Linked DNA regions of Saccharomyces cerevisiae S288C. Changing the gene in region 2 together with the main gene of any one other region gives a genetic interaction. Each region holds a gene or a part of one and is shown on either strand. Other genes may lie near its edges.

Region 1 (3,559 bases), on a different chromosome or scaffold from region 2:
TTGTGCTCTGTTGTAGAGAATTGATTGAAGATGATGAACCGTTTAGTTTATTCTGATTTATTAGTTTTTCCCTCAATTTCAATTCGTGTGCTTTTCTTTCTAATTCTTGAATTCTTTTTTGTAATTCTTTAGCTGACTGGGCCTCTAACTCTTCCAGTTTTTGTTGTCTTGCTAAAATTCTTTCATGTCTCAAGACATATGGAACGGTTTCTGAAATATTTCTTAACTTGGTACGCTCTGGTAAGTCCGGAGAGTTCAAGAATTTTGGTGAAGATTCTGTTTTGATAGATCTTATCAAATTTTCATTTTCTTGTTTTATTTCTCTACCCAACTGTCTCACGGGAGACATTTCCTGTTCATTTTCTGCTGAATCATGTTCGCCATTGTCTTCGTATTCGTTTTCCTTAAAGTTTCCACTTACTTGGTTTCTTGGTGTGTCCGCTCTCAAATTGTTTGCAAGAGTTTGAGAAGAATTGAATTGACCAGTGCTTATCAAAGAGGCAAAGTTGCTTAAACTTGGAGCATTTGACTGTCTCTTTGTAGAATTAGGACCAATTTCTTCAGCGTTGGCCACGGACGATAGTTTTTCGGAACGGTAATTCTCGTAAAGCAAATTTTGCGTGGTGTCTTTGAATTCTTGTAAGTGAGAACCAAACAGGACGTTTTTTAAAACTTTCAAATCCGAAATTTTGTCGTCGTCGATTGATATTATCCCCCACGGATACTCCCTAACGTATCTACCTTCACTATCTCTGGTATCTGAAGTTATAATAGCAAATGGTTGCAAGGATGCCAAGGCTTGATTCTCTTCCATGGATTCCAAATCATCATCTTCAGGGTCAACCTCAAATTTGTAAATTGGGACGTTGTATCTTTCCACATCAAACATAATATTTTTCCTGAATTGAGTTAGCTCCTCCTTGGTGAATGAGTCAGCTCTTGTTATTATTGGCAGTACATTTGTGTATTTGGAGATGCTTTTCATGAGCTCTACATCGACTTCTCTCAGACCGTGTCCAGTGGGTTCAATAAAATATAATGCTACGTGAACCCTGGTGTCCTCAAACCTCGGATTCCTTTTAATTCTGGTTTCCTCAGCTAAAACAATGTCAAATTGTTGTTCTAAATACGACATAACTTCCTCAGAACACAACGAATCGTCCAAGTTTTCGCCTATACCATGCGTCATAATCAAGTTGAAAAACACGGTATCATCCTCGTTCATTTCTGGCTTTCCTTGATCTTTGTTGCCCCCAAGTTCTAATGAAGTGGAGGTGATGGTAATACCTGGTTCCAAATTGGCTCTCATTGGATCGAATTCAGAAACATAAGATGGAATCCCATTTTTCGAATTAAATGAAACAACTTTTGTCGGAGCAATAACTTTTACTTCTGGGTTAGAGCTAATACTAGCATTTGATTTACCGTATTGATACTTATGCGGAAAGATCTTAGTTTCCAATAGATTGTTAGCAAAGGCGGTCTTTCCTGTACCTGCTGGCCCACATAGTAACATTGTGTATGTGATCCCACGTTTATGTTCTTTCTTTCTACGAAATAAGTTAATTGGCGGTGTTGAAGCAGTGCTCATGATTAATAATATATTTTTCTAGCAATTATAAGCAGATCTTTGGGGCTCTTGTTTTATTATTTCACTTGCTGGGTACATTGATCTTGCTCGAAAGCTTGTTATATTCTTTTCGCAGTTTGGCACTTTAAAAATCGCGCGGTTACCCGCAAGCAACGCCAGTTTTTGTCAAGAACCAAATTGCACAACTATATCAAGAATGAAAGCAGAAATATGGACGTGATTCTGAGTTTAAATGGTGCCAATTGAGCAATTTTATCGCGGATTATAGAGCATGTCAGATTGGAAAGTGGACCCAGATACCCGCAGGCGTCTTTTGCAATTGCAAAAGATTGGTGCAAATAAGAAATGTATGGATTGTGGTGCGCCAAATCCACAATGGGCCACGCCTAAGTTTGGAGCTTTCATTTGCCTTGAATGTGCCGGTATCCATAGAGGGCTTGGTGTGCATATATCTTTTGTAAGATCTATCACTATGGATCAGTTTAAACCGGAGGAACTTCTTCGTATGGAAAAAGGTGGTAACGAACCTTTGACTGAATGGTTCAAGTCGCATAATATTGACCTGAGTTTACCACAAAAAGTGAAATACGATAACCCCGTCGCAGAGGATTATAAAGAAAAGTTAACATGTCTTTGCGAAGATAGAGTATTTGAAGAGCGTGAGCATTTGGATTTTGATGCTTCCAAGTTATCAGCAACCTCTCAAACCGCTGCATCCGCTACGCCTGGTGTTGCTCAAAGTCGAGAAGGGACACCACTGGAGAACCGTCGATCTGCAACACCAGCAAACTCTAGTAATGGTGCCAATTTTCAAAAGGAGAAGAACGAAGCTTATTTTGCTGAGCTGGGCAAGAAGAACCAATCTAGACCAGATCATTTGCCCCCTTCTCAAGGTGGTAAATATCAGGGCTTTGGAAGTACACCCGCAAAACCTCCACAAGAACGGTCTGCAGGGTCCAGCAATACTTTGAGCCTGGAAAATTTTCAAGCTGATCCTTTGGGAACATTGAGCAGAGGATGGGGCCTCTTCTCCAGCGCTGTAACCAAATCGTTCGAGGACGTAAACGAAACGGTTATTAAGCCTCACGTCCAGCAATGGCAATCCGGAGAGTTGTCAGAAGAAACGAAGAGAGCAGCTGCCCAGTTTGGCCAAAAGTTTCAAGAAACGAGTAGTTATGGATTCCAAGCATTTAGTAACTTCACTAAAAATTTCAATGGTAATGCAGAGGATAGCTCTACAGCAGGGAATACAACCCATACAGAATATCAAAAGATTGATAATAACGATAAGAAGAATGAACAGGACGAGGACAAATGGGACGATTTCTAATTTTAATATAGTTTTTCTCAACATTCAAGGAAAGTTCAATTCACATTGTAGCTATAATGGAGAAGTGGTTCTGTAAAGTTTACACGTAATACTTCTGTCTCTAAATTTGTATTTTTCATATCTTGACAAGAAGAGGTTTACTCTCTAGGATTATAAATAAGTCTACACCAGTATTCATAAATAGTTACCACAAGGCCATATCGTAAATTATTATACAACCTATTAATTACAAATAGAATTGCAATCCTTTCCCATCGGCGTTGTTGTACTGTTGCAAGGCTAATGACGGCTATTATTAAAAAATGTTTTAGACCTGGGACAATCGTTATCCTTTTCTTCATTATTTGGATGTTTGCGCCTTAAAATTATCCTGGGCACGAGTGAAACAAAGCTAAAACCTTTATTTAGCATGGCCATTGAATGTAACAATTATATATATCGCAAGCACAAAAAATCAAGGAGAGAGAACTACCACTTTGTTCATGTGTACAATGTTCATTATCTCCATAAGCAAAAAAAAAAAATAGAAAACATATGCTATAAGGTTGATATTCTCACGAGTAAGCGGCACTTGCTACTTATTGACATTGCAGATTTTTGGCTACAGAAATAGTATATTAGAGATTATAATTGCTAAT
Region 2 (3,549 bases):
TTTACAAAAATAAGTACTCTTCTAAACCTTATAAAGTCGACAATATGACCCGTATACTACCACAACAATCGAGATATATTTCCTTTATTAAGGACGACAGATTTGTTCCTGTACGTAAATTCAAAGGAAATAACGGTGTGGTGGTTTTAAGAGATAGGGAACCCAAGGAACCTGTAGCACTAATTGAAACTGTTAGGCAAATGAAAGATGTTAACGCTCCACTTCCAACCCCATTTAAGGTCGATGATAATGTCGACTTCCCTAGTGCTTAGATCAAGGGTGCATGGTCGTACAGAAAATGAAGAATTAGTTCAAAATGCCAGAAAATAAATAATAGTGTACATACTTTTAAAAAAAAATCATTGAATTATTCTGCCAGGATTAGCTACTTTACGCATAATTCTAACGTGACAAATGTTGTTTCCGCTTTGTTAATTATACTTTATATGATTTTGTTCAAGCCATGTCAACCTCATTTATGGTACCATCTTATTCGGCTTTATCAAAATAGTATATAGGCATATACATGAAATATTTTTTTCTTTTTCTAAAAAACCTACATGTTTAATGTGAGATATTACGTAAATCAGTTGGACGTATCATATTTCCTCACTAATTCATCGAATTTTGCGTCAATTTCTTGGTGATGCTTGATGAATGCATGTTCGTGATCCAATTTAACCAATTGATTTGTTAAATCTTCAGTATCAAGACCTTGCATAAGAGCAAGCGTAATTTGGTTTGCTAAGAAAGTAGGTTTGTACAATACGGCGTTTTCTTTTTGTTCGACGCTATAGTAGTCAGATAGTAATAGCTCGACAATACCCTGAGCTTCAGCTATGTTTCTTTGCTGTAAATGCAAATTGAGCAATCCCAATTGAGTTTTCCAAGTAGGAAAGGTTTGAGATAGCTCTTCATAGTAGTAAAAGTTGGATGTTGCCGTTTCTTTGTTTGTGGCAAATTTAATGTACGATTCAGCCAGGTTTAAAATCATTTCGTTGTCACCGGAAACAGTATCCTCAATAGCATTAGTGTAGTTATCAAAGATGGTGGACGCGGTCGAAACGTTGTTGTTTAACAAAGCGACTTCGATGGCAAGCAGCAATAATTCTGTAGTCCCTTCTGCTTCGTCATTGTCAATCCCTTCTACACATGTCTCCAAACTTTTATCTAAGTCACCCAAGATAGCTTGAGCCGTGGCTAACAGATATAATTCATATGGTGAATTCTGTTTATCCTTTAACAAATTTTCTAATTCTTCAATGTTTTTTGTATCTAAGAACTGGACGTACAAGTCTAGTACCTTGCCAAGCTTAGAGGTAGGATCTTGTGATTGATATTGGCCTAGAGCTAAAAGGGTTTTCGCCTTGTAGAATAATAAGGTGTTATCTGTGACCTTGCTAAACTTCTCTATTTCCTGCAAACATTGCACGAAGTTCCCCGTGTAGTAATTCTGCTTGATATTAAAGTAATCCATGATTTTTTGTCTGTTTCTATGTTCTCCACCGAGTTCTTCACAATCCGTTCTTATACTGTAGCTTGACGTGTTTTTCTGTAGAAACTGTAGTTTTTCGCTTGACAAAAAACTGAAAAAGAACCAACAAAAAATTAAGATCACCTTAAAAATTAAAAATAGAATATCTTTATCCCATTGAAGACGCTGCATACGCACCTATACAGCAAGACAAAAGATTTTATACAACATTACGGTTCCAATTGAATGTAATGTTACTATATAGTGTGGACACTAAAGAGTGAGATCAGCGGGCGTCCTGATCGTTGCGTTGGAGCCATCTCCTGAATTCCATTTTAGCAACTATTGTTCCGGTATAACCTCTTTTGCAGCCTAGAATGTTGTGAGTACTAAGACAGATACCATTTCACCAGCTTGTGGCTCCCAATTCTTTGACATCAGCAGCACGCTGCTACAGTCGATCTTTGACGAGACGAATTTTAATAGCTAGCGTAACAATCCGTAACAGGAAATTTCGTTCATAGTTACTTGTTTATACATTATTTCCTTCTTTTTCTGTGTTTTTATTTCCGCGGGTGTAAGTCAAGCAAGGGTGAAAGCCTTATGAGCTAATGCTACTTTGACGCAGAACAGAACTTTTTATGTGTCAATGCTTAATATGATTTTCGTTTTAAGGAGCAGCCTAATTTCAAGCGTAGAACAAGGTGATGTTGGGAAAAGAAGAAGAACAGCAATATGGCCAGAATGGTAAGGGAATGGAAAATGAACTACCCTTTATGAAGAGGCCTTGGTTTAAAAAGGCTTATGAAAATGCTATTGAATTTCATGAAAAAGACGAATTGCTGGATGCAAGAGACAGGCTGGAGTTATCGAAGGCCTATAGATCCATTGCTAAAGCTGAGATGTGGGGTGGTTGGCTTGGGTTTTCAGCTGTATTTTTAACTCCATTTGCCTATCGTTACTACAAGACCAAGGCTATTAAAGGTGTTAAGGTGCCGAGGAATTTTGTCTTGGGTGTAATGGCTTTATTTTTTGCTACAAATTTTGCTGGTAGGTCCATGTATACACGACAGTTGAACGAACGTGACCCCACAGGTGTTTTGAAGGATAACTATTCCAACAAATATGGTGACAACGACTTTGGAGCCTTTCAACATGATCAAACAAAAGAAATTCCGAGAAATCAAAGGCAGTACAATATGATGCGCTTATTAGATTCAGGCTCCCCCTCAAGGTGGTCGATGTACTTTTACATAACGTACCAAAATCCGGAGAGAAGATTGCCAGACCCGAAAGTCAAACTGCAGCAAATGAAAAAAGGCGGAGTTTTTAACGGCTCGCCCTTTATGAACCAAAGGGATCCTATAGGATTGTATCGTAATAAGGGTAGAAAATCTCCTGACCCAATTGAAGGAGAGCAAAACGACAGTCCTGTTCTGTCTTCCTGGGAAAAAATCAGGAACGGCGACAACAGTTCGTCTTCATCATGGGAAAATATAAGGAACACCAGTAGAGATCAGTCGCAGGAATCAGATGCTTCAGTGGATCATGAATCCGATATATTTATCTCAGGATTTTCTGACGATGGTAATGCTACCGATAATTCCTCTTCTGATGACAAATATCAGCGTTTACTGCAGAGCGGGAGATATGGTGGGAACCGCTCCTAGACGACGGAGTAATAATAGCGTATGGTCACTAATTTGTATATAGGTATATGTTTGGGCCAAATTCGGCGGGTTCCTGAATTTGTTTTTATATATTCGTAACTTAAACACTGCCGGTGAACACCATCTGCATACCAAATTGCTTTCTTCCATATTGAATTCGCGCACATCTTATCGAAGGAAAAAAAAAGAAGAAATAGTTAATAGAGGTAAGATTCCTTCATCATACTCATTTTATTCTTTACAAAACATAAATTAAATAAGTCAAAATTTAACTACATAAAATCTCATTAAGCTAAGACGTTGTCACCTCTCTTTTCATCTTTCAAGTTACGCAACTGTTTCAAAACTTCTTCAACAGAAACAGTAGCATTTTTACCCTGTTGTTCCATAACGTCTCTGTTTCTA
Region 3 (3,758 bases), on a different chromosome or scaffold from region 2:
GATTTTTTTTTTTCTTTTTCAAATTTTTTTATTATTTTTTCAATTTTTCTTTTTAAAAGGCTTGTGGTTGACTAGTCCTTTCTTTTTAGGGGTTGCTTTCTATGAGAACGTGTTCCATTAGTAAATATGCCAGGAGGATTATTGCTCGTGGGCTTCTTTACTGTTTTTCTTTCTAAGCATACTTCAATACCATCAATTGACTTTTTCTTCTTCTCTAAAGCATCGATTTGGCTCTTTTGAGTTTCAAAGTCGACGACGGCAAAATTGTCTGCAGCTGTTATCCTCATAACTTTACCGAATTCTTTTTCTAAGGCACTTCTCAATTTTTCTTCTCTTAAGCCATTTGTACCTCTAATGTAGATTGGATAAAAGCCGTCCTTGTTAACGGTGCTGAATACTGGTTTTTTCTTATTTTTGCTGTTAGCACTAGCGTTGTCCCTCCGATTCCCCATTTCAAATTTTCTTTCAGTCGGTTTCTTGGGTAGTGTTTCAGGTCTGATGTATTCAACCGTGGTATTATTTTTGCTAATTCTGTCGGAGTTTTCATTCATCAACTTTGAGGCCCATGTCATCTTTGGTGGATTCGCAACGGGCTCTGGAGAAGATGAAGGTGTTGAAGCGTTATTGCCGGATTCTTTGGCGTCGGAAACCTGTGGCTCTATTGGTTTAATTTCAGTTTCAGCTTCCTTTACGCCCCCAGGTACCGGTTTTTCATCACTAACTTCTTTACCGTTGGGCAAAGAAGAGTTATTAACAGCATTTATGGCCTCAACAGAGCCTTCCTTTGTCTTGATTGGTGCAGCTTTCTTTTCGGCTTTGTGAGATTTTTCATTTAGTTTAGTAACGTTTCCTAACTCTTCTGTAGAGACCTCATCTTGTTTGTGGTTGCCCTTAGTACTAGATGGTACCGTTTCGGTGTGAATCTTGGACTCTTTAGTGACGGGTATAGCCCGAGGTTGACTATGATCGACAATTGGTTTTTCCTGAGTTGACGATTCAGTTGGCGCAGTTGTGTCTTTGACCGTTTCCTTTTTGGCCTTTGGTTTCGATATTTCTGGTGATTTTTCTTTTTCTTTTTCTTTTTCAACTCCGGACTCATGCCTTATTTTATCTTCTTCAACTGCACTGACAGAGTTCTCCTCGTTAGATTGTGACAAAGAAGCATCTGTTAAGACATAAGGCTTGAATGAATTGGAAATAAATCTGATTATATCATTGGTAATGTCAAACGTAGACCCATTGCTGGATGGTAGCAGGATAAATGTTTGACAAAACTTATAGACCGGAGTTCCTGTCCAAAACATTTCACCCGTGGCCATGATCAGAATGCTTTTGTGCAAGTGCCCAGTGTACTGGAAATCTATAGTATCTAATTTTAGTTTCAAGCTCCTAACTTTGGCATCATTTCTAGAAAAAAACTTATTAATGTTTTCACGTCCAGTAACTTTCACCGTTGGAAGAACGTCATCTTTTTCGTTTGTTGACTTGGACTGATAATTAGTATGCGTCAACTCGGCTGTACTTGCATAAAAATATGCCAATTTGGAAGGGTCGGTCCTCATTCTTTCGTAGTAGTTTTGCAAAAAGGCAAAACATATGTCTTGAACGGTAACACCCATTTTCTTTTATTTGATACTTCTATTCGAGGGTATGACTTCAAATGCAACTATTAGTGACAAGGTAATAAAACTATAACACACTTGAAAAAAAAAATGCGATGGTTTTGTAGTATTCTTCGTGATCTTTTTCTCTTTAAAAATCAACGAAAAATAAAGATGTATCAGTAAAATAAGTTTTCAACAGATTCTCTGTAAAATGATTGACTAATTGAATATTTGAAAGAAAATGAGGTTTGAACGAAAATAATAAAACAAAAAAAAAAATGTAATTAAATGGGCAAAAATGAATTAAAATGTAGGGAAAAAACACAACTTGAAGAATTAAACAGAGTAAAAAAACGAAAGCTTGTGGTAGGTGATATAAATAAATTAAAGCAATATCTTACTGTTTATTCTTCCTCTAGAATAGTTTTGGTACTAACGGTAACTAGAAAACTGAAGAAGTTTTTCGTATTCTTCTAATACTCAAGCAAAATATCCTATGTCAAGTACTACCACTTGTACAGTCTTCGTTTTGTACAAATTAGGTATGAATTGCTCTTTTTTGAAACAGTAATGGGATAAAAAACAAATGACTTAGTTTAACGTCCGCCGGTTGCGATAGAACTTTTAACCGTAACAATAGTAACAGTGGACAGGAAAAAAAAACGGTACGAAAAGGTAATATTGCCTAATCTGAAATAATGTAGTCACTCTAGAACTATTAATAAAGAAGCTTGTACTTCCTCTTATCCCTGGAATGGACGGTTATGCTGCTTGCAATATGTCATTCTTTCATTAATCGCCACCTGATGTTTTTCGCTGCTTTGGACGAAAAAATTTCCAAGAAAAAATAAATGGTTAAACAAACTACAGCGCACGTGACCGATAACTATACGGGAATAACGCATCAATCTCCTGTGGAAGAGTGCTTATTGCATCGAAGAACCAATCTGTATTACTACATGTCCAATCATAAGCTGATGTTGCTTTTAAACTTTTTTTTTTAAAATTGTGTATACATATAGTACATAAATGATCATTGGTCCCCATCAATACCGTATATGACACCTTGGTACTTGGCGAAATCCGTACCGTTTGGGAACTTATGCATAGACAGCTTGCTCAATTGGCAGAAGGATAGAAGCATCAATAGACTCTGGCCGCCTGTAGTAGTAAATATAGAGAATCTTGGTAGCCCTAACTCATCGGCAAGTGTGGTTAGTGAATATTGCTGCTGCTGTTGCTGTTGTGAAGATTGTTGCAATTGAGGGTTCTTGAACTCCTGGATTATTTTATACACCAGGTTTAAGTCGTAGAAATTGGGCATGTATTGATGGACCCACCACTCGAAATCCTCCTTGTTGTTGGGCATGGAGTCATTCATTAGAATGTTGATCAGGAAACCTAGATCATATGCCGCATGGTATGTGATCCAAGTAACAGAATCATCCATCATTAAACCAGAGTCCATTAGAAGCTGCGAAAATTCAAATACATCGATGCCTAAATTTTCGTGTTTTTCGAAGTTGATACCTGATTTTCTGAGTAATTCTAACGATTCTGTGGACATGATTTCCTTCTTTGGGTCAAATTCAAAATTGAACTGCCACGTTGAGGGACCGTTGTCAGGCTTATTGCCGTTGGCGTCACTCAAGGAAAGACCAAGTTGTATTGGGTTTAAGAAGTCTACGTTGGCCCTCATTGTCTGATAGTGGTAATCGACCTTCGACCTGAAAGTGCCGATCGGCCTAGCCAAAGTCCCCACAAACTCAGTACTGATTGACACATGATTATACTGCGAGACCAGTTGTCTTATAACGGCGAATTCACTGTAAAGGTTGGACTTCCAGACATCGCGAACGAAAAGATAATTTGGGGGTGGTAAAAAGATCGGTGGCATACTTTGGTTGGTTAAATGCTTGGGTAGCTGGGAAGCCAAGGGACGATTGAGTCCCACTCCCTGCTGCTGTTGCTGCTGTTGTTGTTGCTGCTGTTGTTGTTGCTGCAGAACGTTCAGTCCGGGCGGCAAACTAGCCACCGAAACAGGCGTTCCTATATTAAATGGCTGCTGTTGTTGTTGCTGTTGCTGTTGTTGCTGAGTTAACAGTGGCTCGTTCTTCTGCTTCAAAAGATAGGCATTGTTCATCTCCTGATTAA

The links.
Region 1: mutations in SEC28 (region 2) and GCS1 together harm fitness more than expected from each alone (negative genetic interaction), as found in Saccharomyces cerevisiae (4 studies listed by BioGRID, with this or other methods).
Region 3: mutations in SEC28 (region 2) and BRE5 together harm fitness more than expected from each alone (negative genetic interaction), as found in Saccharomyces cerevisiae (4 studies listed by BioGRID).

Annotation. Positions count from the first base shown.
Region 1 is NC_001136.10:50,477-54,035, reverse strand, and holds GCS1 (GTPase-activating protein GCS1), read left to right. Parts: upstream 1-1,862; coding exon 1,863-2,921; downstream 2,922-3,559. Other genes in the region: septin SHS1, read right to left, coding at 1-1,591. UniProt on the Saccharomyces cerevisiae protein: GTPase-activating protein (GAP) for ARF1 and ARF2. Involved in intracellular vesicular transport. Required for transport from the trans-Golgi network.
Region 2 is NC_001141.2:214,586-218,134, reverse strand, and holds SEC28 (coatomer subunit epsilon), read right to left. Parts: upstream 1,478-3,549; coding exon 587-1,477; downstream 1-586. Other genes in the region: proteasome regulatory particle base subunit RPN2, read left to right, coding at 1-272; RCI37 (Rci37p), read left to right, coding at 2,182-3,144; threonine--tRNA ligase THS1, read right to left, coding at 3,432-3,549. UniProt on the Saccharomyces cerevisiae protein: The coatomer is a cytosolic protein complex that binds to dilysine motifs and reversibly associates with Golgi non-clathrin-coated vesicles, which further mediate biosynthetic protein transport from the ER, via the Golgi up to the trans Golgi network.
Region 3 is NC_001146.8:716,709-720,466, forward strand, and holds BRE5 (Bre5p), read right to left. Parts: upstream 1,620-3,758; coding exon 72-1,619; downstream 1-71. Other genes in the region: CCR4-NOT core DEDD family RNase subunit POP2, read right to left, coding at 2,638-3,758. UniProt on the Saccharomyces cerevisiae protein: Has a role in de-ubiquitination. In conjunction with UBP3, cleaves ubiquitin, leading to the subsequent mono-ubiquitination of sec23.